4 linked regions of the Struthio camelus genome follow. The protein of the gene in region 1 interacts with the protein of each later gene in a pairwise test. Links are inferred from orthologs where the notes say so. Each region holds a gene or a part of one and is shown in the gene's direction. Other genes may lie near its edges.

What was found.
Region 2: the proteins of UBQLN4 (region 1) and PRPF40A interact in a two-hybrid assay, tested with the Homo sapiens proteins (2 studies listed by BioGRID and IntAct). The link is inferred for Struthio camelus from reciprocal best matches to the Homo sapiens genes UBQLN4 and PRPF40A.
Region 3: the proteins of UBQLN4 (region 1) and PTN interact in a two-hybrid assay, tested with the Homo sapiens proteins (2 studies listed by BioGRID and IntAct). The link is inferred for Struthio camelus from reciprocal best matches to the Homo sapiens genes UBQLN4 and PTN.
Region 4: the proteins of UBQLN4 (region 1) and SPP1 interact in a two-hybrid assay, tested with the Homo sapiens proteins (2 studies listed by BioGRID and IntAct). The link is inferred for Struthio camelus from reciprocal best matches to the Homo sapiens genes UBQLN4 and SPP1.

What each region holds. Positions count from the first base shown.
Region 1 is NC_090971.1:3,782,603-3,789,900, reverse strand, and holds the start of UBQLN4 (ubiquilin-4), read left to right. Parts: upstream 1-4,281; 5' UTR 4,282-4,297; coding exon 4,298-4,453; intron 4,454-6,968; coding exon 6,969-7,120; intron 7,121-7,298. Other genes in the region: RAB25 (ras-related protein Rab-25), read right to left, coding at 128-509; ragulator complex protein LAMTOR2, read right to left, coding at 960-1,016, 1,272-1,361, 2,433-2,595, 2,837-2,934. UniProt on the Homo sapiens protein: Regulator of protein degradation that mediates the proteasomal targeting of misfolded, mislocalized or accumulated proteins.
Region 2 is NC_090947.1:44,934,495-44,942,106, reverse strand, and holds the start of PRPF40A (pre-mRNA-processing factor 40 homolog A), read left to right. Parts: upstream 1-4,608; 5' UTR 4,609-4,908; coding exon 4,909-5,271; intron 5,272-6,852; coding exon 6,853-6,990; intron 6,991-7,612.
Region 3 is NC_090942.1:66,014,201-66,021,078, forward strand, and holds the start of PTN (pleiotrophin), read left to right. Parts: upstream 1-3,864; 5' UTR 3,865-4,069; intron 4,070-6,878.
Region 4 is NC_090945.1:11,416,303-11,423,530, forward strand, and holds the start of SPP1 (osteopontin), read left to right. Parts: upstream 1-4,224; 5' UTR 4,225-4,705; intron 4,706-7,228. Other genes in the region: MEPE (matrix extracellular phosphoglycoprotein), read left to right, coding at 1-52, 1,027-1,089, 1,884-1,976, 2,106-3,806. UniProt on the Homo sapiens protein: Major non-collagenous bone protein that binds tightly to hydroxyapatite. Appears to form an integral part of the mineralized matrix. Probably important to cell-matrix interaction.

The sequences.
Region 1 (7,298 bases):
GCCACCCCCCAGCCTTTATTGCAGGGTGCAGGACGGGGCCCACGGGGCCCGGCGCCGTGCCTCAGTTTCCCCAGCCGGCGCACCGGCTCCGACGTCCCGCCGTGGGCGCAGCCGGGCCACGACTCACCCTTGAAGACAAAGTTATAATCCTCGGCGGCGGCGGCGGCACCCATCTCCCCGCCGGCCCGGCCGGAGCAGCCCGCGCCGCGAGGTTTCCTCCTTGCCTTTGCGAAGCGTCGAGCCGAGGGGAAGACGGGAGCTGGGGTTGGGGGGGGGGGGACACAAAGTTTCCTGCCCGGCTGCCGGGATCCGGACGCGGAGGAAACCCCGGCCGGGCGAGTCGGCGGTGCAAGGCGGCCGGTTGACTCAAGGGGTGGGAACGCGGTGCAGGTCGGGCAGGTAATGTCACCCTTGGGCCGGGCACAGGCGGAGGAGGAGCCCGGCGCTCGCTGTCTCGGGAAGAAGGAAGCGGGCGCTGCCGGAGCGGCGAGCCGGGCTGCCGGCGCCATCCGGGCCCCCGACCGCCTTTCCTCGTCTCTGCTGCCATCGTGCGAGAGCCGGGGAAACCAACGGGGGGGGGGGGAGCGAAGCCGAGCCCGCGGCCCCCCGCTTTCGGGGATGCCCCGATGTGCCCCCCCCCCACCGCGGGGCTCCTGCATCCTGCGGCACCCCCCCCCTCCCTTTCGCTGCAAGGGGACGGCACGGCGCCCCGCGCTCGGGGGACCCCCACCCACATCTCCACCCGCCGACAGACGCCCCTCGCTCTTCCCTTTATTTATGTATATATTTAAAAAAAATACACACCATAGCACACGAGCATCAGCCACGCTTTTATTCCCCTTTTCCTCACTTCCCTCCCGCTCCCCTTATTTTGTTTTTTAAAGGGCGGCGCACGAGGCAGGGCGAGCGGCGGAAGCGAAGGGCCCGGCGTCGGCCCCCCGCGCCCCTCCGCTCCCCACTCAGGACGCGGCCACTTGCGTGAGCGGTTCCTCCAGGTACTGGACGAGAGCCTGCGCCTGCGAGCGGAGAGCGGCGTGAGCCCCCTTTCGCCCCGTCCCCCGCTCCCGTCTCAGTCTCCTCCAAAGCGGCAGCGTTTCGAGCGCCCCGGCTGGCTGCGAGAGCCTCCCCTCGCCTTCTCCATCCCTTTTATTTTCAGCCCTCGGGGATTTACTCACTAGCTCTTTATTTTTTGCGCCCCCCCCCCCCTTGCAGGGACGCAGCCCGGCAGCAACGCCAGCCCCGTTTCCCCCCCCCGCCGCCCCCAGCGTTACCTTGGCTTTCAGCATCCCAAACCCGACGGTCTCTTTTGCGTACATGCACAGCAAAAGGTTCGCCACGCGCGTGATGGCGACCCGACCCTCCTGGCCAGGGAGGAAAGAAATACAGAAAATTAAAAAAAAAAAACAAAAAACCGCACACACAAAAACCAAAACAACCCCCCCCCATAACACAAAACCAAAGAAAGGGCCAAAACCCCCCCAAAAAGGCCAACCCCCCCCCAAAAACCCCAAAGCCCCCCCAAAAAAACAAAAAAACCCAAAAAGGCCAACCCCCCCAAAAAAACCCCAAGCCCCCCCAAAAAAAAACAAAAAGGCCAACCCCCCAAAAAAACCCCAAAGCCCCCCCAAAAAACCAAAAAAACCCAAAAAGGCCAACCCCCCCCAAAAACCCCAAAGCCCCCCCAAAAAAACAAAAAAAAACCCAAAAAGGCCAACCCCCCAAAAAAACCCCAAAGCCCCCCCAAAAACCAAAAAAACCCAAAAAGGCCAACCCCCCCAAAAAACCCCAAAGCCCCCCAAAAAACCAAAAAAAACCCCAAAAAGGCCAACCCCCCCAAAAAACCCCAAAGCCCCCCCAAAAACCAAAAAAAAACCCAAAAAGGCCAACCCCCCCAAAAACCCCCAAGCCCCCCCAAAAAAACAAAAAAAAACCAAAAAGGCCAACCCCCCAAAAAAAACCCCAAGCCCCCCCAAAAACCAAAAAAAACCCCAAAAAGGCCATCCCCCCCAAAAAACCCGAAAGCCCCCCCAAAAAAACAAAAAAAACCCCAAAAAGGCCAACCCCCCCAAAAAACCCCAAAGCCCCCCAAAAACCAAAAAAAAAACCCAAAAAAGGCCAAACCCCCCAAAACAAACAAACAAACAAAACCCAAAACAAAACCCCAAAAAACCAAAAAAATTCCCCAAAACAAAAAATCCAACCCCCCCCCAAAACACAGAAAAACAAAAAAAAACACAGAAAAACAAAAAAAACAACACAGAAAAACAAAAAAAAACAACACAGAAAAACAAAAAAAAACAACACAGAAAAACAAAAAAAAACAACACAGAAAAACAAAAAAAGCACGAGACAGGGACCCCGGGGACCCCGGCAGCCCCAGGGGCGCGCGGGGCCGGGCGGGAGGCGGCGGCGGGCGCGCCGGCCCCGCGCACCATGCAGTCCATGAGGATGAAGCGCAGGTTGTCCTCGTTGAACGCCTGGTGCCCGTTCTTGTCGTAGGCCACCCAGATGTTGCTGGCGATGGCCGCGGTGACCCTGGCGTCCGTGTCCCCGTAGCCGGAGTAAGCGAGCAAGGAGCCCTCGTTGTTCAGCAGCCTGCAGGGGAGCCGCAGCCGGAGCCGGAGCCGGAGCCGGGGCCCCCCCGACGGGGCGCACGCGTCCCACCCCGCTGCCCCCTCCCCGGCCACCGCCGGCTGCAAACTCCTCTTTTCCGCGGCATTTTGAAGCCGGGCCGGGCGTTTTGCTGTTTGCAGCCGGGCGTTTTGCGGGTGCAAAAAGACTCCCCCCCCCCTCCTCCGCCCACCCCCCCCCCCCGAGCACGCCGCCGCGCACTCACAGGGTGCTCTGGACCCCGCCGGTGTTGGCCTGGCTCAGCACCTGGGTGAGGGCTTTGGGGCGCAGCATGGGGACGGCGGCGAGGGGGGGCGGCGGCATCGCCCGAGCTCGGCTCCTCCGTCACCCGGGGGGGGGGGGGGCCGTGCCGCTGCTCCGAGCACGCTGGGATTTGTAGTCCCTTCCTCCCGGGGAGGGGGGGGGACACACACACCGGGCACGCATCCTGCCCCGGGGGTGCTGGCCGGTCCCCCGGGCTGCTGCTGCTGCCGGCCAGACGCCGGGGTAGAGGGCAGAGATAAAAAAAAAAAAAAGCCTCGTTAGAGCAGCGTTAATTGCATGCAATTTATTTATTTTTGTTTGCAGCAAGAGCTGGTGGGGGGGGGCAGAGAGCAGCCCCCCCGGAAGGGGGTCAGGCTGCTCGTCCTCAGCCAGCACCCGGGGAAGGGCACTAGCCACAGAGGCCGAGCAATTAAATAGCAATAATTAAAAATAAGCCTAACGAGAGCCAGTTTTGCTCTGCACCCCTAAGCTCAGAGGGGCAAATTCCCCCCCCCCCCCCCCAAATGCTCACACAGTTACAGGCACCCACAGCCCACCCTGGGCACCCCGGCTTTATAGGGGCTCAGCCGTGCCCTAACGACCCTGGGGGCTAATTGGGCCCCAGCCCGGGTCTGCCAGGGCAGAGCTGGCAGTGGCACAGTGGTGGTGGTGGTGGGGGGGGGGTCTATAGGTTGGATGTAATTAGGCTGCACCCTGCTAATGAGGGGGTACCCAGGCCAAGCCAGCTAACGAAGGGGTGCAGGTGGGATCCACCTAACGAGGGGAAAGGCGAGGCGGACCTGGCGAGCAGGGGGACACGCGAGCTGCCCCCCCCCTCCTGAGGGTTTAGCTGGGTTTAGCTAATGAAGGGGATGCGGGATGAACCCTGCTAATGAGGGGGATGCAGGCCGGACCCTAACGAAAGGCGTGCGGCCCAGACCCCACTAACGAGGGGGTTGCAAGCTGCACCCTGCTAATGAGAGGGATACAGGCCAGATCCAGCTCATGAGGGGGATGCATGCAGCCCGGACCCTGCTAATGGGGGGGGGGGGCTGCAGCCCGGACCCTGCTAACGAAGTGGGGGCTGCAGCCCGGACCCTGCTAATGGGGGGGGGGGCTGTAGCCTGGACCCTGCTAATGAGGGGGGACTACCAGCCACGCATGGATGCATATGAGGTGGCCAGCACTGGGGGCAACACCTGGGGCAGCTGCCCCCATTTTCTCCCAATTTACCCCCCCCCCAATTACCCCTTTAACCACCCCCTCTAAGGCAGGGGTCCTCCAGCGCTGCAGCTCCCCTCCCGCCCGCCAGGGGGCGACGGCGCGGCGAGGCGAAGTTGGGGGGGGGCCGGGGCGCCGCTCTCGCGCGGCGGCGGCGGCGCGCGCCGCCTCTCTCTGGCCGCGGCCCGGGCTGGCGGCGAAGATGGCGGAGCCGAGCGGCGGCGGCAGCGGGCCGGGCCCCGGCGGCGAGGGCGCGGCCGAGCTGGGCGGCCCCGGCGGGGCCCTCATCCGCGTCACGGTGAAGACCCCCAAGGACAAGGAGGAGATCGTCATCGCGGACGGCGCCTCCGTGCGCGAGGTGGGGGCGGGGGGGGGAAGGGGTTTTTTTTTGGTGGTGTTGGCGGGGGGGGGGGGGAAGGAAGCTGCTTTTAGGGGATGCGAATGGGTCGGGAAGCGTTGGGCCGGCTGGTTTTGGGGGCGGGTGTGAGGAGCTGGGGGTGTTGGGGGAGGCGTGAGGGGTGGGGGGGCTGGTTTGGGGGTGGGGGGCGTGAGGGAGTGTGGGCGTGAGGGGTTTAGGGGCCTTGGGAGGGGCGGGAGGGAGCTGGGGGGCCCTCGAGGTGGTTTTGGGGTGGGGGTGAGGGAGCTGAGGGGCTTGAGAGAGCTGGGGGGGCCCTAGGGGGCCTGGTTTTGGGGCAGGTGCGAGGAGCTGGGGGTTATTAGGGGGCCTCTGGGGAAGGACCTGGAGGGGGGTGTGGGGAAGCTGGGGGGCTTTGGGGAGGATGGGAGGGAGCTGGGAGGTGTTGGGGAGGAGCTTTGGGGTGGGGGTGAGGGAGCTGGGGGGTTATTGAGGGGGAGGAACCTGGTTTGGGGGCTTGGGAGGGGGGAGCTGGGGGGCCTGAGAGGCTTAGGGGGGGCATGAGGGAGCTGCAGGGTGCGGAGGGGCTTGGGGAGGGTGTGAAAAAGCTGGAGAGTCTGAGGGGACTTGGGTTGTGGTGAGAGGTGGGGGGTATGGGGGAATCTAGGGGGATGTAGCTTTAGGGTGGGGGAAGTTGAGGGAGTTTGGTAGGGAACACCTGGCTTTTGGGGGATATGAGAGGATGGGGGGGTCTTGCAGGAAGCTGGCTGAGGGTGTTGTGAGGGGGGCTGGTGGGGGTGACTCTTGAGGGAGGAGCTGGCCCTGAGCAGGGAGGTGAAGAGGCTGGTTTTGGGGAGGGCCCGTGGGAGGGTTTGTGGGGGCTGACAGCGGGCAGGGAGATTTTGGGCGCTTGGGAGGGTGGTGTGAGGAGTTGGGGGAATGGCTTTGTGGGGGGTGGCCGTGGGGAAGGTGCTTCTGTGGGGCTGGCGATGGGGAAGGGGGTGTGAAGGGTGTGGGGAGATGCTCGGGGTGTGGGCTAGGCTGCGGGGGAGGGATGGCAAGGCTGCTCAGGGGTAGGGTTGTTCTTTAACCTGTTGGTATGAGAAAGGCTGCCGCGCTAGGGAGAAGGAGCTTTGGGGACAGAGCGGGAGGCGTGTGTGTGTGTGGGGCTGGCTGTGGAGGAGGTGGCTGGGCGGCTCTGTCCCTGCGGGGCTGGCTCCCGGGCAGGGTTGGAGGGTTGGGCGCGCGGGGCGGATCTGGGCACGTAGGAGGCAGATCCCCTGGGCAGAGGAAGAGGGCTGGGCACGCCTCTGGGGTGCGGGTTGAACGAAGCCGAGGAAAGGGAACATGGGACGAGCGTGGGTTTGAGGGTTCGCTCCGCCAAGAGGGATTCCCAGGCTGGAGTGAGGGGGGTGGGATTGGGAGGGAGTGGCTCAAGCCCTGCTGAAGTGACTGTTCCCACTGAGACGAGGTGTCATCATCGGTGCTCTTGGCCTCATGGCTTGCAGTGTGCTTTTACTTTAGGGCTCAGGACATGAGTTTGCAGTGTGATGGAGCTGGCTGAGATCTCTGGGGAGCAGGGCCATGGGGTTAGGCTGTGGTCTCTGCGACACCCCTGCCCCTTCCCAGTCAGCTCCTGAAAGCCTGTTGGTATAAACAGGATGTTAAGTGACTGCTTTGTTCAGAAGAAAACGCTGATGAGCTTTGTAAGCAGGTTAACGTGAGGTTTGGGACTGTTCTCCCAGGCATTGGTTTCAAGGGTTATAATGTGAAGGCTGCAAGCTCATCTAGGACAGGTGTTTGTCATCCTGGCTTTTTCTGTGTGAATTTCCTGTAGTTTCTGGCTTCCAAATACAAAGCTCTTTCCTCTTAAGTCAACTTGGGAATGCCTTAGCTGAGCCAGCAGTGACAATCTTATTGGCAGAAATCGCCAATGTATCTCATTACATAGTAAAGAGGAGATGTCAGTGTTATCTGGTATGGCATACTCATAGGGAATATAGTTGCAGAAATAGGAATTAGAAAAGACCTAGTTTATTTCCATTGGCTGATAAAGGATTGTTCCCTTTTCCATAGAGCTCTGTCCTGTATTAAATCACAGAGAGTTGGGCTTTCCTTAGGAAAAAAATCAAATGAGCAGAGACAAAAAAAATTGTCATTCAGAGGATAAATGGTGTCTTTGGATTAGACGTAAGAGGCACACTTGATCTTGCTTTGGAAGCCTTCAGCTCATCTTGAGGTAATTGCTCTATACTTTCTGAAATTTACTCCACGTTCCTAAGCAGTGTAGAGCTCTTCTTTGCTTTTTGGTTTTTTTTTTTTTCTTTTTTCCTTAAGACCTCAGACATGCCCAGCAATTGGTGAATGGATTGGTATCTGCATGGGATCCTTCTGGGTGAAGTTCTGAGGGAGTGTCAGTTCTTCGTGCCATTCGCATAGGGAATGTGCTGTCCGAAATAGTATCTTTAAGCTTCTGGCTTCAGTCCTTTTCCTGAGAAGTGCTTTGTCTGTTTTCCAGTTCAAAGAAGAGATTTCCAGACGATTTAAAGCCAAACAGGATCAGCTGGTTCTGATCTTTGCTGGGAAGATCCTGAAGGATGGAGACACTTTGAATCAACATGGGATCAAAGATGGGCTGACTGTGCATTTGGTCATTAAGACTCCACAGAAGTAAGAAATGATCCCATGGGTGGGGGGCTGAGGGTAAACTGCTGATGTGAATAAATGATGGTGGAAGGGTTCTGCTTTATCTGCAGCTGAAGGGGAGCACCTTGTGTCAGACTTGAGTGCTGGCTTTGGGGCGTTTGTGAGGTGGTGGTGATCTGGCAGGAGAACTCCTTTAGGTTCC
Region 2 (7,612 bases), on another chromosome or scaffold:
AAATAAAATCCACATTTTCTGAATATCTATTATCTACACGCAGCAAAAAACTGTAACATATGATATGCAGCGAAATTCAAATGAAGGAAAAATATGTTATAATTTTTGGAATTACAGAAAATACACTCCGCATTTAAAATATTTAAATACTACAGATGGAAATCAAAGAATCATAACATGGTATCATTCTGACAAACTACCTAAGGGGGTAGTTACTGTGTGGGTTGTTTTTTTATTTCTTTTGTTTCTACAAAAGGCATTTCTAGAAGCTTTTGACTTATAACTGTGAATTTTAACTTTTTCTTTAAACGGTACATTATCTAACTGAAAAGTATTTCAGTGAGAAAAGAAGTCCTTCTCTCTTTGCTTAACACAATACACAGTGTCAAGAAAAGAGAATGAGTTTTTCCAACTCTAACTAGATTCTCATTATCCTCCTTGAGTTTATGTTACAGAAACTTTTTAAATTAATTTATTATTTAATTAATTACATTTATATACAAGTTCTGTAACCAGTTTTTTACTCTTTCAGATCACTTAAGGTCACAAATAGATCAACAGAAAGCACTTTTCATAATGCAACAGTTATCTCTTATGGACCGAAGAGATACAGCACCAAATCAATCGCTGAATTCTGAATAAATACTTACTTGAACCAGGTAGCAGCGGAGTGGGCAGAAACACTCCTGGTTCAAAGAAATCAAAATACATCCTGGTCCAAGAAAAAACACAGCACAAGAATTCTGCCAACGAGGCTACAACAAGCACACTACAAAATCTTTTGGAAGAAGCAAAGAGAATTTGACATACGTATTTTAATACTAATTCAAAGGCACCGTCATACAGCACAGCTCCACAATGCAACATAAATGGTCCGTTTTCCCAGAACAAAGTAGCAATCCTAGTTGCTCACTCTGCCTGGTAAGCCCAAGAAACAACCTACCAGAAAAAAACCCAGTAGCATTCCCCTCTATCCTTCCCTCCAGTTACAGCACAGCCAGCCACCTGGACTGAACAAAACTGAAGAAACCTCCAGCAGAGAATATGGCAGGAGAACTTTGGACAGGAACATCTTAAACCAGAAATAAATAATATCTTACTATAATACTTCATATATCAGTAAGCTAATTATTAGCAGGACAATTTTTTCTCCACCAGAATGTCATGCTGGTGAATTGACAAATATGATTAGATTCATTTTAGCATTCAAAACTATCAGACATAAACATATATGTTCCCTTTTTTTCTTCTCTCCTCCCCAGCTTACCTACTTTTTTTTTTACACAACGCAGTTACTACCACAACAGCAAAGGTCAGCATTAGCCCCTTCCACTACTTGAACAAAACAACAACAAAAAAAAAAACTTGGTAATACCATTTTAAGAGCCTTCAGCTGTTCTAGCAGCCTACATGGACAACTCAAATCAACAGGGCTGGAGTCTCCTGAGAACACTTACCAGTAGCTTACTAATCAAGCTGTCTGGTGAATACATCAGTGCAATAGCAGATAAAGAGAACTGTCCACATACACTTCAGAGTTTCATAACGAGAACACTGCAAACAGCAGTATCGTAGCTGGTTCTGTCCAAACAAACTGTTGAATCGTTGCAAGATTTTTCAAAGAGATAATGGACAGGTTCATTTTTAGCAAAACACTCAATCACTTCCATTGTCTCTAGCATATTGTATGCATATCTAAATTTATCAACGTAAGTTTTGAGCACGATAAAGTGGTGGCTTTTTATAATGAATTCCTGTAATTTTCATGAAAGTGCTCCAGAACCCTCACTCACTACCTTCACTGAGAGTGCAGCATGAGTTCAACCTGCCCTAGATAACAGAGGATTCACCCAGGAACTTATTCTTGAAACACAAGTATTAACAAAACTAGATGTTACTGGTTCTCTTTTCTTGATTGAAGTCAATAGGACATTAATATACCAGAGCTTCCTCTGTCAAAAGCCAAGACGGTTTCCTGTCTTTTGATAGCAACAATGGCAACAGCTGCTTCAGCCGGATAACAGTCCAATCAGCCCCACAGCAGAAGCAGCGTGCCTTCCCGTGTGGCTGTCCCCACCGGCATACCTTAATGCTCTGACTACATTTTTAAAGAGAATACTAGTTATGAATAATTAAGCCAGATTTTCAATGCTTTCCTGATAAAGGGGGGAGCCTTTTATTCATCACTGAATTATACTGAAAACGTAGGTGAACAGTATTGGTAATTTCATCCCCAAGATCCAGGATTTCAGATAGTGATGATTCCTTCATGGGATGAATATCACATAATGTCTTTTGCTGAGCAGTGTGCGCTTGCAATTGGATATGAGCCACGCACCACAGGGCTTCACATATACCTCACCAGCACCCTGTTTATGCAGAATCCTGGCTAGGAAAGTATAAACTGGAGAATTTGCAAGATATAAGCAGTTTTCGAAAACAATCACTTCAAATTTACCAAGTAGTTAACTGAAGTAGAATTGACTAAAACATAGAATTACATATTTGATTATATACTCAAGCCAGAGAATCAAGTCTTAAATCATAACAGTATGACATGGCAAGCCATTAGGCAAAGATTCTAATCTTAAAAATACATCTAGGCTGTTCAGTATGCTAAAAATCAAATTTTAACTCCTCGACCACAAGCTGCCCTGTTTCATCACAGGGTGACAGCCGTACAAAACTTCAACACATTAAAAAAAGTATTAAAGCAAAAGTGTTATGTTACAAAAGAAAAACTCAATCTTTCCGCATTATTATTCTTGCTTTTTAATTTCTCCTCGGTCATAGTAAAAGTTAATGTCAATCTTAGCAAATCTTGGCTTTTCTCACCAAATTCCAAGTTCCATCACAGTTATCTCACTATAATAGGACGATCCTGCTGTTAGGTCACGTGGATATTAACTTTGTAAGATCACATCTTCCACAAATCCTGCTGATCATCACACGGAAGTTAAGACTGCTGTTAAACAGACTTATTCTGCGTCAGGATTAGGACACCTGTGGCAGATGCTCCCCCACTGAAAAGCTACCACACTCATTTGTGGAGTCAAAAAAATAAAACAAAACACCGTATTACACCTCAAGGGCCATACTTGCGATTTATTTCAAGAAACTCCAAAAAAGCAAGACAAAGGAAAGTTGTGTTCACCCACATTTACACATTACAGACACTGGGAACCTGAACATTAAGTTGGTACTGCCTTTAAATATATAAAATAGATTAAAAGACAGTGTTTAGACATACTACCACAATTTCTATCTAGATGCAGTTAACTCCTTCCTCCACATCAAAAAGCCTTCAGTAGAAATATATACTCTTAGAAAAATCTATTACTATTGCATGCAAAAAAAACAGAGGTTCATATGGATTTAAAATATTATTAAAGCCAATGGTTACAATTTACACTTAACTTCGGTTATATTTATAGTGAGTTTTAACCCTGAATCAATTCCAGCTCTCCTCCCCTGGCTTTCTTTTTCCTCATCTCTTCTGGCACTGAATCTGGCCACAGGTTATTGAAGAGGCAGACAGAAGAGGATAACTTATGCCGCAGGACTTAATTAGTAAGCACAAGCCGGTCTGAAATAGGAGCAAGGGTACAAGACGGATGACAAGGGGTGGGAAAAGTGAAATCGATGCCTACCACAGTCTGTTGGTTGGAACGAAGTCCTACCAAACCCCGTTTATAGTATCTAAACCAAAAAATAAGCTTTTTTTATGAAGATATTTTTGAAAAGTTGCTATTCCTAAAACGTGGATTAAGCGCGGCACAGAGCACGTGGAAGGATTTGGCGTTATTACACCTCGGCCTTTGGGGCCTCTCGGGCCGCACGCGAGGCAGCCGAACAGGGCTCCGAAGGGGGACAAAGCCTCCACAGCTCTGGAGGAAGGTGGAAGACCTGAAGCGTTTTCAGCCCTTTCACCGCCTCGGGCGCTATTTCCGACGGCAGCGGTACCGCCCGCTGCCACCCCGAGGTCAGCGGGGCGAGGCGGAAGGCCCCTTCGGGCAAGGAGGAGGGGCACGCAGGCGGCAGCAGCCGTACCCAGGCAGGGCCCAGCTGCCACCCAGCTCCGCTCTCCGCCTGCCCCGACCGCAAACCTGAGGGAAACGCAAGCACGCAGCGTTAGTTGAACGGCAGAGAGCAGCGGAGGCCGCTTCCCGGGCTGGGCCCGGCTCGGCCCGCGGGGCGGCGGTGGCACCGGCCCCGGGCAGCGCCGCGGCCATGTCGGCGCCGCGGGCGGGCGAGGGCGCGAAGCGCGGGCCGATCCCCCTCAGGCGGCGGCTACCACCGCGCACGAGACGCGGGGGGAGACAAGCGGCCCCGCCCTCCCGCAGCACTCACAGCGCACACCGCGCGCGCGGGACGTACCACCGCAGCGCAGGGGGGGACGCAGCGAAGTTGGGCCTGCCGGCCGGCACGTACCACCCGCCGCAACGCGCGGGGTGGAGCAGCCGACACTTTCCGGCTTCTCCAAGCAGGCGGCGAGGAGAGCGGCAAGCGCGCATCCCCCCCTCCTCCTCCTCCTCCCCCTCCTCCGGCGGATGTGGCGCCGGCCGCCCCGCCCCCTCGCCCACGTGACCCTTTCCCAGCGTCCCCTCCGCCGTCCCCCCGCGCGAGCTCCGTGGCTCGGCGGCTCGCGCGCCCCCCCGCCCGGCCCGGCCTGGCCCGCCGCCGCCGCGGCCTGCTCCCGCTCCCGCCCGGAGGCTCTTCTGCTCGCCGCCGCCCGCCCGCCTAGGCGAGGCCTCGCCGCGCCGCCGTTCTCTCTTCGGCTCTTCCTCCCCCACCCCGGCGCGGGGCCTCTCTCCATCCGCTCGGTCCTCGCCGCCTGCGGCCGGCGGTCGCTAACGGCTCCGGGCGCCGACGCCGGGAGAGGCAGAGAAGAGGCTCGTCGCGGCCGGGATGTCAGGTGGGGACTCGGCGGCGGCGGCGGCGGCGGCCTCCCCTCAGCCGCTCCCGTTCTCCTTGCCGAAGCCCCCTCCCCTCATGCAGCTGACGCCGGGGGACGCCGTCCGCCCCGTCGCCGCCACCGCGGACCAATCGCCGAAGAGCACCCGGCTGGCGGGCCGCCCGGATTGGCCAGCGGGGAAGCCAGTCAGCCTGCTGGCGCCGCTGCTCCCGCCCCGCGGGGAGCCCGAGCCGCTCATGCCCTTTGGCCCCTCGTCGCGGCAGCCACTCAGAGGGCGGCTTCTTGGCAGGTGCAGCGGGGGTAGCCTGCTCAGCCCCTCGATGCGGCCCGGCGGCGTCGACCGGGGCTCCCTCATGGTGAGTGCGGGCGGCGGCGCTTCCGGGGGGGGGCGGCCGGGGCCGGGCCGGGGGCCCTTGGTTGTGCGAGCGGGGCGCGCTGGCAGCGCCCGGGGCTGGGCACAGCACCTGCGACGCAGCCTGAAACCGCGAAGGAAGCGGGAGTGGGCCGGGGCCGCCCCCCCCCCCCCCCCCGAGAGCCCTGTGCTGCGCTGGTCAGCAGAGGAGAGCTGGGGCGCGTTAAATGGCATTTGGTTGGCAGGTCCCTCGGGAAGGTTTAAAAACGCCTGTATGTATAGCGGTCTTCAGAGGGCGCGAGAAGGATTTGAGGAAGCGTTGTACTTCTGGTTCTTTGGAGAGCATCTGAGACTTAGTAAATCAGTTAGGATTATGTCCCCCATGACGTTCAAGGCGTGTATACGCGTGTGTATATATAGGTAAACTCTTTAAGTTTCAAACCTGTTCAGTTTGTGGCTTTTCAGTAATCGCAGAAGGGTTGAGGTTGGCAGGAACCTCTGCAGATCATCTAGTCCAACCCCCCTGCTCAAGCACGGTCACTGAGAGCACGTTGCACAGGATCGCATCCAGACAGTTTCTGAATGTTTCCAGGGAAGGAGAGTCCATAACTTCTCTGGGCGGTCTGCCCCAACCTCACAGGCTATTAATAGGCATGCCTTTGGGTACCCCCCAAAAATTTCAATGGAAGATTGTTTTTAAAGCATGAAAAAAGGTATTACTTGCTTTTTTTTCCTGCTCAGTATCCTTCTCAAAAAAGTACATTTTGTTTAAAAGTAACTTTCACATTGAGCTAATAGATATGAAAGACACAAGTAAGATGCAGAGCTGAATTATTTGTCTTTCAAAATAAAGTGCCTTTGAGCCTTTATCCTAAGGCACTCTTAAAGCTGATGCTTCTGACTGGAATAGAAGGCTTTTACTACGTTCTGGTAACTAACAAGTCTCCGAATATGAAATAAGATGTCTTCTATGTTTTTGTGTGTTTACAGAACAGACTTTTGACGTATGCTAGCTTTTTTAATCCTCTTACTGTGACTATACCAAGTATAAGGACAACCACAGGATTCAGATTTTTAGGAAAATACAGAGACAGAGTTTGTAGTCAGCGTAGAAGCTACTTCAGCCTTAGACATGAGAGAAGCAAAAGATAGGCTGGTCATCTGATTGACTTCTCTGCTCCAGGGGTACTTGTGTTAATCATAGTTGTATAGAAGAGCATGCAGAAATAGTTGCACACACAAATTTAGTATGTGATTCTATGACAAATTATAACATGAAAGATGGATATTTTCTTTTTTTATTTGGCTATTGTTTTTGAATTTTTAAATATATTTGTTAATTCTGATGATCTCCAGCTCTACAGATCCCAGAAGAGTATTCTTCTACAGTATGCTTAACATCAGAATTGATTTGTAAGCATTTTAATATAATTGTCTTGCTCGCTGTCTTGCAGTGTTAAGCTAAAATTGACTACCTCATTTCCAGTGGCGCGTCAAGTGTGTCTTTATTCTTAATGTTTTGTGTTTTGGGGGGCAGGGAGTTGTTGGCTTTGTGCTAATTTTTTTGTTTGTTGATGTCTTTCAGATGGGCCACCCAGGCATGCCACATTATCCGCCCATGGGAATGCACCCCATGGGTCAAAGACCACCTAATATGCCACCAGTTCCGCATGGTATGATGCCTCAGATGATGCCTCCGATGGGAGGACCACCAATGGGGCAGGTAAGGCAGTTTTACTGGATTTTTTTCTTTCTTTCTTTCTTTCTTCCTGTAATGAGGCCAGATAATTCCTGAGGTAGGTAAGTCTCATATAGTAGCTTGCAAATGATAACGTGAACAATTCAGGTTGTTTTATGCAGCCATGCCTATCCATGCAGAAACTCTTCTCATTTTAGTGGATAATGAAAGTGCTTCCTAGTTTTGGAACTTTAATTTTAAATTGTCATATATGTGAATCCATAGTTTATTTTTAATAAACCTTTTAGACAGTTTCCCATAGGTTTTGAAGAAGTAAGGTTGTCCTATTAAAAAGTACTAGAAACAGAAAGTAGCGATTCTTTTCGGAAGTGGTAATGGTAGAGAACTTTTTCTCTCTTTAGTTCTTGGCTAACTCTTACATCCAAGCATGGAAGACAATTGTAGGGAGACGCAGGGAAGAAACAAGATCTGAATTTTTGCAGAATTGCTTCTTGCATCCTAGGGAGCATTTATAGTTCTGTATAATATACTAGTGGTGCTAGTGTAATGCACAGTTTGAAAAACAAACTTAGCTATTCAGAGCACATTTGAAAGTGAATTGACAGGAGGAGTAGCCAGGCTCATATCCATGCTTTTGCAAATTTGA
Region 3 (6,878 bases), on another chromosome or scaffold:
CAAAGTCACAATTTTTATCCATAGCTGGGATTTTTTTTCTTTTTATAACAGATTTCAAATTCTGGATATGTAGGATCTCCATTCTCAGGATTGCCAGCACAAAAGAAGAAAATGGTGAGAGAAGCCAGTTTCAGAATGGCACTCTTTTAAAAGCTGGGGATCTGGAAAGGCCTGCTGTGCTGCATTATATTTGTGGATTCAAACTGCAACATGCAGATATATGCACATGAATAATTTCAAGCACAAGAGCATTAATCCCATTGTAGAAAATAGAATCAGTCAAATGTGTAACGTTGCAATATGTATTCACGGTTTGGTCACTGAAGCATAAGATCAAGTTCTGGGATACTGACTTTTTTGGAAAATATCTTAAGTTTTTAGCACGTGTGCATGTAAAAATAACTCTGCTGGGTTCAGAATTTGTGTTTGCCTTCTTTTGCATACATCTAGAAAAACTGTTTTTTAACATACTGGATTACTTTAATACTAGAGAGTGAGGCATGAATTATTATTTTTGAATTCCATGGATTTTTCCACTCTAATTATAGGACTGACTATTGTCTCTGTGACAATATTCCTGCTATTATGCAGGCCTGAAATGAGAGATGGAGTGAGAAGGAACACAGCTCTGAAGTAGCTGATTTCAGTGTTCAGTGCATTCACTAAATAATTCAGTATCACTAATGGAAATCTGATTTTGGTAGAGTAGGCATGAGGGGCACTCAGTGCTGGAGTTTGGCAGCTCAATAGCCTGGGAACAACAGTGGAGCAAAAGGTGAAAAAAATCTTTACGCTATTCTCGAGTTCTCTTTTTTTGCTTTCCTGGAATCATGTTACATCTTCTTGGAGGCTGCTGTTGCTGAGGGCTAGAGAGGGCGAGAGAAAGAAATTGATATTTACAGTGTATCCGAAACAAAGAAAGCTCAACCCAAGCTGACCTTTTAACTGGTGTGCGAGTGGTTTTTGCTTCTTGAAAAGTATAGCCCCATTCTACTCAGCTGTGGGACCAAGAACAGGGAAACACTTACTGGGAGCAAATTATATAAAGTCTTGCGTTCTGACTTTGTGGTCTGAGATTTTATAGTCAGAATCTTTCAAGGGCACCTTAGGAAAGAAGTACTAAACTCTCGTTAGAAGCTGATGAGATCCCAGTGACTCTCTCCTTCAGGGCACTTATGAAACAACTGCCTCAAAGTACTGAAATACCCCAGGTTCAAAGGGAACTGTTGGTGTTCAACTCAGGAAAACACTCAGTGAGAGGAACTTTGTTGTGGGAGGGTTTCTAGATTTAGGTACAAGATACATCTAATGCTGGGAGCTTCTTTCCCCAAAATTGCCTCAAATACTTACTGATAGAAATATTTGGGACATAATACTTTTCGATTGTTCACAAGACCATTTTTTTGCATGTGGCATCAATCAGAAGTGGTTTTGTAACTTATTATTTGCCTAACCCTCACTCTTCCTTTTAAATGAAATTCTGCCCTATATCTCCTTTTCAATGGGATACTGTTCTGGGTAGCAAAGATGATACATGAAAGCAGAAATTTGACTTCTACAGCTGGCAGTCCATTCTTCATCTTTGTTTTATTGAACAGTATGGAACCAGCAAGGATTTTAAGGATAAGTTTCACCAGCAATCTGAGAGCAAATTTTCTTTTCTTGGATATTTGTGTGTCCAGACCAGAAAAGTAATTGTCAAAGGCTATTTTCCAGTATGGATATTTTCTGTATGTCACAAGAGACTTAAATGAGGCTACCGTTCAAGGTGCCATTAATATGGAAATAATATTAACATAAAAACACACTTTTACTTTTTGTCAGTCCAAGACTGAGATATTTTATTTTTTCATCAGAGTTCCTTCAGACCATAATTTGTCCTCTGAGCAGCTGTGTTAACCTCGAGTGCAGTTCATTTTAGACTTTTTGAATCAAAACCTAAGCCCCCATTACAGAAAACTAGTTTTAGTGCATGTAAACTCAGTCACAGGAAATTCATTTCTGAGCTATGGAAAGGTATCTAGAAGAGGTGTGAGTGGATTAGGTTCAAAACTGTCTATTGACATTGCTTTCAACATTTAATGGAAAAATGGGGCTTCTGACACACGCATCATTGTGAAAAGTGGTTGCTTTCTGCAGAAAGTTTCCATTGTTTGTTGAAAAACTGAAAATGCTAAGTGTTTTAGGTAGGACTCAATTTTCTGTGAGGGAAGGAAGAAATCTCCAGACCCACTTCAAGGCATCTGTTTTGGTCTTAATCAAGAGCCTTTCAGCCTTTCTCCTCTTGCCTACTTTCACTTTGTTACTCGGACATCATTGCCCATCTGAAGTGCACTATTGCAGTGGCACAGAGACCGTTGTCTCTTGTGTCAACCGTTATCAGCTGTTTTATGATGGAAAGTCTTCCTCTCACAGTGCTTAGCACAGTGATGCCAGGAGTTCACTGAGGAGCCCCAAGGAAGGTGCAGAGTAGTTATCAAGGATCCATTTTTATTCTGATCAGCTTTGCATCGCTCAGTTGCAAAGTACTATTTGAGTGCTCATTTCCACGCATCCAGCTGCTAAAAACACTGTTCTCTCCTCCTGAAGCCACTGCTTTGCCTGTCGGGTCAAAGTTGTTTAAAATTACATCACTGTCATTAAATCGGCCAGTGGTGTAAATCCTTAACAGCCGTGCCCGGACTATACATGTAACTGTGTGATGTAAAGAAGATGCCAAGGTGTGGATGGAAGGAAGGGAGTAGCTTACGGAGAAGGAGGCCAGGTGGGTGCAATTGCCTACGCTGGGCCTAGCCATACAGAGCTTTCCATTGTCACAGATGGTAGGTGTTAGATGATGCAATGCGAACAGTGCCAGACAAATTACTTTTTTAACTCATTCCTCTGGAAACAGGAGAAGAATCCGAACTGGATTTCTCAGACCTGGAGCAGGAGCTGCTAGCTTAACGATCTCAGCAAAGACCCTAACCGTCAATGGGCTGAGTCTTTCCGATCGAGACCAGAGACTTGTTCTGGCAATGGGCAATTGCACAGAAATTGCCTGGGCTTTGGAACAAGTCCACTTAGTTTCAAATTAAGCTGTAGACTGGGGAACGCTCTTATTCAGTGGATGTAATGAACCTAAAAGCTGGAAAGGCCTGCTCCCAAATGAAAGCCTTGACACAACTCCAGCAGCCAATACACCCAGAAGTGCCGAAATGCCACCACAAAACTTGTTCTCGTGCTACTTGCAGCCCAAACAGAAATTAAAAGCTGCTTTATTTATTCCCCTGCCCCTAACAGCGTTTCCAGTCCAACACTGCCACAGTCTCAGCAGCGAGCTGGAAGCCAGCGAGGTTAAAGTTAACGCTCCCTTTCCCCTAAACAGTCACCGAAGGGGCCAAAGACTCGCACGGGGTGAAAGCGGTGCCTCGGCGAGCCCCGCGGCGGCCGCCCCGCAGCCCCCTCAACGGCCGGCGGGCAGCCGTTGGGCGCCCCCGCGGCGGGCCGAGCCCAGCCCCCGCTTCCCCGCGGGCGGGAGTTCGGGACGTTACGCCGGTTCGGGAAGTCCGTTAGGACGCCGCAGCGGGGGGGGCCGCGCCACTAACCTAACCTCCCCCCCCCCCCAGCCCCCCAATGCCGGGCTCCGCCGAGGCACGGGGGAGCCCCCTCCCTCTCCCCCCCCCCCACCGCGGGCGGGGGCGAGGCTGCCCCGCGAGTGACCCGCGCCCGCCGCGCGCCCCAATCAGATCGCGGGAGGGGCCGCGCGGGAGCGCGCGCGCGCGCGCGCGCCCGCCGCCGGCTCCGCTCCCTCCGCCCCGGCCGGGGCCGCCCGCTCCCGCACTCGGCGCCGGGGCTCTGCGGAGGCAGCGCGGGCAGCAGGTTCCCTCGGCATATATATATATATATATATATATATGTATATGTATATAAAATAACCATAATAATCCTGCGAGGAAAACAAATCCCGAGCAGGAGAGCGAGAGGGCGCGCCGGCAGAGCGGCAGCAGCAGGCTAGAGGAGAGGGATCGCAGCGCCGGCAAGTGCCCGCCGCTCCCGGCTGACGGGCGAGAGCCTCCCGCCGCTCCAAGTAAGTCACGGGCGCGGCCCCGGCCCCGGTGGCGGGGGAGGCGGCCGGGCACCTGCCGCGGGGCCGCGGAGCGGGCGCTGCCGCCGCCGGTCGATCGCGCGGATATTTAAGAAAGTGAAGTGGGGGGACGGGGCCCGGCGAGGGAGGGAAGGTTTGGGGGGGGGGGGGGCGAAGCCAGCAAATGCCGGTTTATCTGTTTTTAAAACTGCTGCCGTTAGTTTACGCCTGCCGTTCCCTCCGCGGGGATGGGATGGGAGCAAACCGGAGTTAACGCTGGTGGAAACACGGCTTTCCCCTGCTGGGTGTACAGGTTGTTCTGCAAACGAGCCACGGTCTCCCACGCTGCTTCCCGTACCTCCTTACCCCTCCCTCGTCTTCTCTTGCAAGTAGAGTTAACACTGGTGAAAATGCAGTTTTCTCCTACTTAAGAGTACTGATTGTTCTGCAAATGTGCCACAGTCTCCAGCACGGATTTCTCTAACTCCTTACCCTCCCTTGTCCTCTCTTCTGAAAAGCAGAGCTCTTTATAAGAAAAAGGTAGTCTTGTTTCTTTGGGGGCCTCATCTGCTGCTCTTGCTTGTTCCAGCTGGATGTCGTGCACCTCTCCCTTCAACCCCGCAAGTGGCGTGCCGCGGCGGTGGATGGCTACAGTGCTTTAGTTTAGTGGTATGCTCAGAAGCTGGATTCGGGGATGTAACTCTGAGGTTAGCTGGTTCTTAGGAGCATTGTAGGTTGGTTTGCGATGTGCATTACCTCTTCTATGAGGTAGCCCTGCAACTATGCATATCGGTCGGTGTTTTAACTAGATCCTGTTTGCTTTGAATAACTTATGTTACAGTAGAAGAACACTTTTTACCTGTAATTTGTCAAGCCTCAAACTTTCTGTCCTGTTCCTGTTTCCCCTTCAGACCTCGATTGTTCCAAGCTTTTTGCAAAGTTCAACTTTCGGAGCAAGGAATGGATTGCATATATAGTAATAACTGCTTGTATTGAGGAGGAGGAGGGAGGGTAGGAGGAGAAAGAGAAGGGAAGGGTATGGGAAAGTTTTTTTTTATAAAGAAATGCTTCTCATACGTTTTCTGGACAGTGGTTTGAGCTGATCTGCAGAGCAAACTTTAGTTTGTTCTGTGCGACTCTCTTCCCTCCCTGCAAAAAGAGCATGAAAATTTTATACACACACACACACACACACACATATATATATATATATATATATATATATAAGACAATCTGAAATTTTCATCAAGAGAAATGGTCCGAAGGGAAAAAGGAACCTGCCTAGTGGTGAAAGAAGTTTTTAGTTTTTGTAGTGGATGGAATTGGATGGAGAAGGTATTTTGTTAGAGTGGTCAACCGAAAAAAAAGAAATAAGAAAACCACTGCATAAATTACTGATTCCTCCTAAAAAGAGCAAGAAAGTAGAGGTTTAAGTGTACTCTTGACTCTGATCGAAGCTAAACTCTTTGGTGACTTACCACTTAGGGAGCTTTCTGTGAAATTGAAGGATGGATGCTTATCGACTGCAGAGCAAGCTCTTAGATGGAAAGAGAGGGAAATTTGAAGCCAGCAACAGATCTGTCTCTTACAAATGAGTAAGTTTTTGTTGATAGTGAACAAGCGATCTAAGAAAAACAGACTTTTGCCATTATCCAGATGTCTATCACCGGTTATTTGAGATGCAATTTGTGACTGATAAATGCTTGCCAGCAGGAAGTTGGTTTTACTACAGCATTACCAAGCATAGCGCTAGCCCAGTACCATATACTAGTATTCTACTGTTGGTAATATGAAACAAACTGTCCCAGAGAAGGTTCAGTTATGCCATTATGCCAGTGTTGACACTGAGGACACTCTTGAGGCTTATCTTATTCCTGTCACAGCTCTACTAATGGAGGCTTTGTGTAGATTCAGCTTTCTCTTGCTAAACTGAATATTAATACTTAGCTGATTCTACCAGCAACGGCTCTTGCAAGGTACTTCACAGACACGTCTTATGTTTCTTTTGGTCATTCTGGAAACAATTCTTCCTGAGTCCTTGGATAACAATTAAAAATAGTCTTTTACTGGAGCTCTGAAAATGTACTCATTTAAAGCATGCTTCGTTTTATTTCAGTGCATTTTTGCAGCAGGGAAGATATGATTTATAAACTGTTAAAGCATTTACACTAAGTTATTTGGGATGGAATTGGTTCTGTCGATGAAACTTGTTGCTCTGTTCAAGCCCCCTCGTTGCGTACGCTCCCAACAGTGGAGTTTTCTGTGGGAACTATCTTTGAGTAACAATGTAAGCTTTGCTTCAATATTTACAACCTCTTGCTGATCAGTGTATCAAAAGCATTTTCATTTAGAGGATTCATTTCAGGACTTTAATTGAGGAAACCTCTTTGTTTCAAGCCTCTTTATAATAAACCATTCAAAATGCTTTCTTTGAACGAACTAGGTCACTGTAACACGCACACACACAGAGATTCTCATCTGCTTAGGGTAGCCTGCATTCGGTCGACCCATATCCCTGGTGAGCTTGTCCCTGATTTATCCTTCTTGGACTGGCTTGTTCACAGGGAGCTTATGCTGCAAATTCACTGCTGGAGGTCATTCTCCATTCTTGGCATCTCTGGCAGTCTTAAGCTTAAATTGCAGCCTCATTTTCTATCCAATCAATACCACTCTTATGTTGCTGAGTTTCCATGGTGCCCCCAATCTTCTGTCTACATATTGATGTCTGACAGCAGGGATAGCATTCTGTGTCACTATATATACTTACTAAACCTGTCAAAACTATTTAGGATCTGTCTCACTAATTTATATG
Region 4 (7,228 bases), on another chromosome or scaffold:
GCTCGTTGCCCTCTTGAGCGTGTGCCTGGCAAGCGCAGCCTTCTCGACGCCCGTGAGTATTGCCGGCGCCGGGAAGCCCGTGGTACGTCTCACCCCGGGGCCAGCCCAGCGAGAAGGCCCCGGGGGTCGCCGGCAGCTTGCGCTGTCCCTGGCGCGCAGGAGCTGGCCGTGGGCCTCCCTGGAGCGCGGCGGGGGGCCCCGGGCGGTCGCGGTGCAGCGAGGCAGGGCCGGTGCGCCCCGGCGCGCTTCCTGGAGCGCAAAACCATCGTCGCACCTAACGCTGCAGTGCGGCTTATTTACCGAGGCGCTGGAGCAGAGGTGAAGCCAGCCGGAAAAAGAGGTGTTAGCCGCGTGCCGTGCCGCTTGAAGTCGGCCGTTAGGTAGGCCTGCGCACGAAATTCCTGCCGACGTGGCTGAAACAGAGGCTAAGCCGAGATAAACAGGCTGGCTGTTTTTATCCTGCGTGATTTTTTGCCCAGCACCTTAAATGCGCGCCTAGAGTGCAAACCGACTCTCAGGGAAAGGCTTTCCTCTTCTCGCAAGGAACAGGCAGGACAGAAACCGTGTCTTTAATGAGAAGTGAGCCGGGGGCAACGCGGAGTTTAGTCCCTGCGTTAAAGCTGGCCCAGCTCGCCCCCTAGCAGGGCAGCGAGGGCTAAGGCTGTAAATGGCTGCGGATTTCTTTTTCGGGTCGGGGCCCGGAGGAGAGCTGGTTAAACGCCCTGCCGCCTGCCTGGCGCTGCACTCCGGCCCTGGACGATTTATAATTTGCAGTTTACAAGCTGGCAAGCGCCTGCCCAGCCGCTCACGGGCGAACGCGGGTTGTGCCGGGGCGGCCGCCCTCCCCGGCTGGCCGCGTGACCGGGACGCCTTACAGCTTGAGCAAGGGCCCAAGAACAGTAAATGGCCTTTTTTGGTTTTTTTTCCCCCCCCCAAGAAGAGAGAACCCGTTCGGGGCGTTTACAGCAGCCGAGACGGCACTGGACGGCATTTGACACCTTCGCTCGCGTTTGTGTCTCCCCGCAGGTGCCGCCGCCGCCGCCGCCACCGTCGGGGAAAGCCGGCGAGAACTGCGTGGGCCAGCACCGGGTAAAGCAGCCCTCCTGGGGGGCGAAACCCCCGCGGCGCGTTGACCCGCAGAGGGTGGGCAGCGCCAGCGCCTACCCAAACAGGCAACTTGACAGCCTCCCCGCGCTCAAGGCTGGGTTTGCTCCCGAGCGGGGCTGGGCTTCCTCTCCGCCGTGCCGCAACGGCGGCTCTAGGTCTCCCTGCAGGAGCCGGCGCTGGCGTGGTCGGGCTCCTAAGCGCGGGCAGCGAGTCTCACCTGCCAGCTCTCGGTCGCCGCGCCAAAACGTTCTTTGTACCCACAGACGAGGCTGTCCGAGTCCTAGCTGCTGGGTGGTCTTCTTTTTAAAGCTGTGTCAGTCTCAAGCGCATCAGTAACGACATTCAGAGCAGTATCTCCTAGTAAGAGGGAAGAAAACGCTCTCTTTTTTTCTCTTGCCAAGCAGCTGTTTCCCTTCTGGCGCTTGAGCGGCTTTCGATCCCATCCGTCGCGTTTAACGAGCTCGCTTATGAGGTCGTTTACCCAAGGCATGAGCTGCCTCACAAAGAAACCATAAATCCTGCAAGAAAGCAAAAGCTGAAAACGACTCAGTAGATGATGCCGAGGTCCAGGAGCCGGCAGGCCCGATAAGCGCGGTCCTGCTGAGGTCCCCGGCGGCCGTGTCGGTCACAAAACCGCTAAACCTGCCCCAGCGCTCCCCGGTCTAACCGGTGTCCGGGCTGAACCGGGAGAGGACGCTGAGCCGGACCCCCGGCGCAAGCTCCTGCCGTTGTTTTTAGGAAAATTTCAACGTCTTTCCCCCCCCCCCCCGGTCTAGATACTGCTGAAAGGCTGCAACGTCAAGCATGGCTTTTATATCTTTAAATACGTGTACTCCTTCTCCACGCAACGGAATCAGACGCAGGTGAAGGTGAGAGGGCGCGCTGCGAGCCGGCGCTGGGGGGCCGGCCGGGGGCCGTCGACCGGCCCCGCCGCCCGGCCAGCTCGGGGCCGGGGCCGGGGCGCCCCGATTACGAGTCGGGGCGTTTCGACGTCGCAGGAGAACGCGCAGTCAGCCCCGGATTCGCCCTCTCGCCGCTGCGCCAGGCGGAAGGAAGAGGCCGAGGCTCCCAGCAGCACCTCCCGCCCCCCGCTGCGCCAGGAGGACGCCCTGAGGAAGCTGACGGAGGCCGACGGCAGCTCCTTGCCGGAGCGCCCCGGAGCCGTCCCCCAACCCCGAAACGGCAGCGCGGCGGAGGGCGGGTGGCTTCCCGGCGCCGCGGGCAATGCCGGCAGCAGGGAGGCCCGCCTGCCCGGCCCGGGGGCTGGCGGGGACGGCGACGCCGCTAGCCCGGCTCCGGGCGCCGAGGGCAGCGGCGACGCCAATATCCTGGACGGGGTGGAAAGCGGCGTTTTGGTCCCGCCCCACCTGGGGAGCACGGTCACGGGGCGGTGGGAGCCCGTGGGCGTCGGGGAGGGTGCCGACGGCAGCAAGGTGGAGGCGGACAACCTCGGGGAGCCGGGGGCGGCCGGCGAGAAGAACGGCTCCAGCGCTGGAAAGGCGGCCGGCGGCGACCGCGAGGTCGAGCCGACCCGGCAGGCGGTGACGGGATACTGGGTGGCGGAGGACGCCGCCACGGCCGTGGATTTGGAGGCGGAGGGCAGCGGCGAGGCCGGCGGGCCGGGCACCGCTCGAGGCAGCGTGGGAGGCGCCGCTTTCACGTCCGTCACGGAAAGGGCCGAGGACGTGGAAGTGGACGGGCCCAGCGTGGACGAATACGTGTACATCCCGGACACCGGCGCCGCCACCGTTACCCGAGGGGCGACCCAGGCGGGGAGGACGGGTCTCACCTGGCTGCCTACCGCGGCGGACGACGAGGTCAACATCTTCATCAGGAAGGCCAACATCCACCTCGGGGAGGGAGGGCCGGCCCCGGTGCGCCCCGGCGGCGACGACGACGGCCACGACAACGACACCGCCGTGGCCGTCACGGCGGGGGCCGGCGACCACCTGCCCACGCCGGTCGCCACCAGGGCGCAGGACGACGGCGGCCTGGGCGCCCCCGCGAGCGGCCGAGACGCGGCCTGGGCGGCGCCCGGCACCGCCGGCCGCGCTGACAGCAGGGGGGACGCGGCGGCCGGCCGAGGGGGGCCGGCGGCCGGCGCGGCGCGGCGCAGGGGCGACGACGACGGCGGCAGCACGCCGGCGGCCCGGCGGGGCGAGGCCGACTGCGCGACGGCCGGCGGGCAGGCGGGAGGCCGGGCCGGGCTGGGAGGGAGCCGCCGAGCGGGGCCGCCAGCCGCCGGGGCGGGGGGCCAGCGGGAGGAGGGCGCCGAGCTCCCCGACGCCGCCGGGGGGAAGGATGAGGGCGGCGACGGCGGCGAGACGCCGGCGGCCGGCCCAGCCCGGCTGAGGGAGGCCGGCGCCGAGCCGTCCCGTCCCGCCGTGCTCGGCGGCGGGGCGGCGGGGCGGCGGGGCGGCCAGAGGAGGCTGGTAGCCGGCGCCGGCCTGGCCCAGGCGTACAAGGCCTACGGCCGCAGCCGGTGGGCGGACAAGGTCCGCCTGCAGGAGCGCTCCCTCTACGCCTTCGGCCAGGCCGGCCCGGCCGCTTACCGCCGCCGCCACCGTCCCCAGGGGCCGCGGGGCCCTTGGGGCGGCTGGTCCTGGGGGGCGGGCGGCAGCCTGGACGACAGCAGCCAGTCGTCGGAGGTGGCGTGGGGCAGCCGCAGCGACAGCCGCCAGGAAGGCGACGGCCCCTAGGGCCGGCGGCGGCGCCCGCCGGCTCTCCCCGCTTCGACGCCTCCCTGGGGAGCCAGGAAACGAAAGGCGAGGGGGGGGCGGGGGGGGGAAAGGCCTGTGGCGGCGCGAGGCCTCGGGCGCCCCCCCCCAACGCCGCCCCCCCCCAGGGGCAGGTCGCCCCCCCACCGCGGTCCGTCCTCTGCGGCCCCAGCCGTCCCTCCAGCCAGACCTATTAAAGTTTGGGCTGCACTTGAGTCGTCCGGCCTTCTTCCTACCCTCGCCGTGGGGTTTTTTCTGGCCGATTTCCGCTCCGCTCGGGGCACGCGCCGGGGGGCACCAAACTGGAGGGAAGGGGTTAAAACAGCCCGGGGCGGAGGGGACATGTGTGGTAGCTCCCCCTTTTCGGGAGGTACGCCCCCGGGGGTCTTCGGGAAGGGGCAGATTGAGGTAGGAGCGGCAGAGCGGGTGGCAGGTTTCAAGTCCCTGCCCCGGGGCTGCAGACTCACCCGGGGGACAAAAGCAAGCCATAATTTCCCGGAAGGGAAATAATTCCCGCGTCCTGGCTGAGGAGCTTCCCCCTCTTTCTAAGGGCAGGGCCGTTTCGGCTGCGGGCTCCCCGGGGCCGTAAGCGGCCGGCGCGGGGCAGCTGCGGAAACACCTGCACCAAGGGGCCTTCGTTTGCTTTGCTTCCCTCCTCCAGCCGCCTCTGTTTGCGACCGCTCCCTGGTGCCGGCCCGCGTCGGCAGGGGAATGGTTTTGTTGTGTGGTTTATTGGGGGTCCCCCCGCATCCTTGCTGCACGCGAGACCTGTTTCCTAAGCTCGCCCTGCGGACGGGGTAGGGGTGGATCCGGCACCGGCCATCAGGAAGGACCGGTGGCCCGTCCAGGGCGCCAGCTGCGCGGCAAAGCTTTTGCTCGAGGTATGTGGCACGGAGCACCTTTCCCCCCCCCACACCCCCCTTCCCTTCCTCTTCTTCCTGTAGCGGAGAGAGAGAGAGCCTGTGGGCTCCTCCCGGAGGAGGGAGGATTTCCCCCCCCATCCCAGATTGGCTGGTCCTGGGCTTTGCCTGCCAAACCTGCTTGGCATCTTGCCCTCGTGTGTGTACGTGTGTGTGTATTTTTTTTTCCTTGTTTTTTTTTCCCCCTCCCTCCTTCCCTCCCCGTAAGAAACCTCTGACTTTTCTCGTTGGCCGCAAGGCGACGCCGCGGCCCTGAAGCCTTGCCCGGCAGCGGGGCTGGGAGCGCCCGGCCACGGGGGAAGGAAGCGACCGATGCGCGTGCGATTTGGGTTTTCCTCGGCGGTTTCTGCGGGCGAGCGCGCCGCCCGACACCGCGGGCGCTCTTGCTAACTAAGCTCGAGCGGCGCTGTGGGTTTCTAGAAGCCCTGTCGGTTTTCTCGGGCAGGTTTCTTGGAGATCGAAGTGCTTTTATTCTTAGTTCCCCCTTCCCTTCTTCCTCCCGTCTGGCTGCTCCTGTTTTGTAAAGTCCAGTTTAGGCCTTAATAGGAGGGGGCAGGTTGGGTGTGTGGTTTTTTTTTTTTAATTGATATTTAGAGAATGACTTTTTGGCAGAAGTGGCGTAGCAGCAGGATACGCGTTTTCCTCCCGGGCGCTACGGGCGCCTATAGGAGCTGGGCAGGCTCCGCGGAGAGGCGAGGGCGGCGCAGGGGGCCCCTGTCGCGCGTGCTCCCCGCGACCTGCTGGGGGGGCGACGAGAGGCGCTGGCTGGCGCTGCCCTCGTGTCCCGCTCTCCTGCAGCGGCGCGGTCCGCCGTGCCGCGGGAGCGGCAGCAACGCAGCGTCTGTCCCTATGCACGGAAGCCCGCATGTTTACTCTTAAACTCCTACGGTGATTTAAGGGACCGCGGGAGGAAGCTGGAGATATATATATATATATATATATATATATATATATATATATATATATTTTTTTTTTTTTTTTTTAAGCTAAGTTGGCCTAGAAAGAGGTATAGGAAAGAGTATTCAGCCCAGCTCCTAGCAACTTTTTACTTGCGCTGCCTAGGCTCGCGGAAAGTAAATTTCCGTTTTTGTTTAATTACTGAGCTTGCTTCAAGAGCAGGGGAAAGGAACCCGCTTGCTACGGCAGTCCCCTGTGTTTTGCATGCAGGGACACGTTGCAGGGAATTACCCGTCTGGGCAAAATCACCCCTGGCCAGGAGGTGCCTCCCCGCTGCCTGCCTCGCCTGCAGCCGGGCAGCTGCTCCGCGCTCGCCTGAGCGTCGCCTCTACCGGCAGTTCCCGTGGCTCCGTTTTACATGTGTTTAAAATGCTTTACCGCTCCAGGAGACATTGCAAATAAGCAGCGAGACGCGAAAACGCTCCCATTTGATGCAGCGAAGTCGTGAACGTTTCGTCCGGGTCTAGTTCTTCGGAGCTGGGAAATGTTTTCTGCAGGGAAAGGCTGGACTCGTTCCTTCGGCTTGGAAGGAGCGCTCCGCAGGGCTGCGCGAGCTGCATGCGGCACCGTGCCTGCGTAAGGGTTGTGCGTCCGTGTACGCGGAGCTGAACGGTTTTGTGCAAGTTTTGCTATTACTCGATCAGAACAGAGTGTTCATGTCGCACTGACGATCACAAAGCACATGCACGTCGTGGCAGATGTTTAATCTTCTGAAAATGGCATTTATAGACTTGGGGGGGGGGGAACAAGTCGCTTTTAGCGAGCCAGCTGTCATTATAGGTTATGGCAGCCCTTCCCAGACCACTGGCTCAAACAGGAAGCGAGAGAGACGTCTGCCCTGTCTTCAGCTTGACAAACCAAACTCGTCACAGTATTTTGAAATGCACAAACCGTAACTGAAAATAACCCCGTTCCTGCGCTCCAGTCTACATTTGCAATTACGCTTCGTAACAGGAAGAAAACTATGGTAATTACATTTCACAGAAGAAACCTACTTCTTGTGTGCTTTCTTAGATGTTCTGTAGGGAGATTACTATGTTGAAATAAAAAACCCAAACAAATAACCCCGTACCTGTTTTCCTTGGAGAGCCTAATTTCCCCCTTGTCGCTCATTTGAGTAGGTCCTACACCGATGAAGACGTTTCCTGGGGAGTAACGATTGAATTACCTGCACGAAGAGTTGCTCCTTCTGGGAACTGGCCCCACAAGAAGTTTCCTATAGGAGGGACGTTGCGCACGGGTACCGAAGGGCAGGTAGAGCCAATACCTCGGCTGCTGATCCCACCGCGCGCTCCCCGCGCCCCGCCGAGGTCAGCACCTTCTGCAGAGCGGCTGGGTTTCGCTGCGCCGGCTACCTCGGAGAGCTGTGGCGTTGCCTCGTGCCTACGCGCCAGTGTGCGATGCAGCGGTCAGCCAGGAGGGACCCGCTGTGCTATTTGCCCCCAGTGCTTCTGCTTTAAATTCACTGATTGGGGACAAATTACTCCTCTGCGCTCCTACAGTGAAAACTTTGAATGGGGTAACACG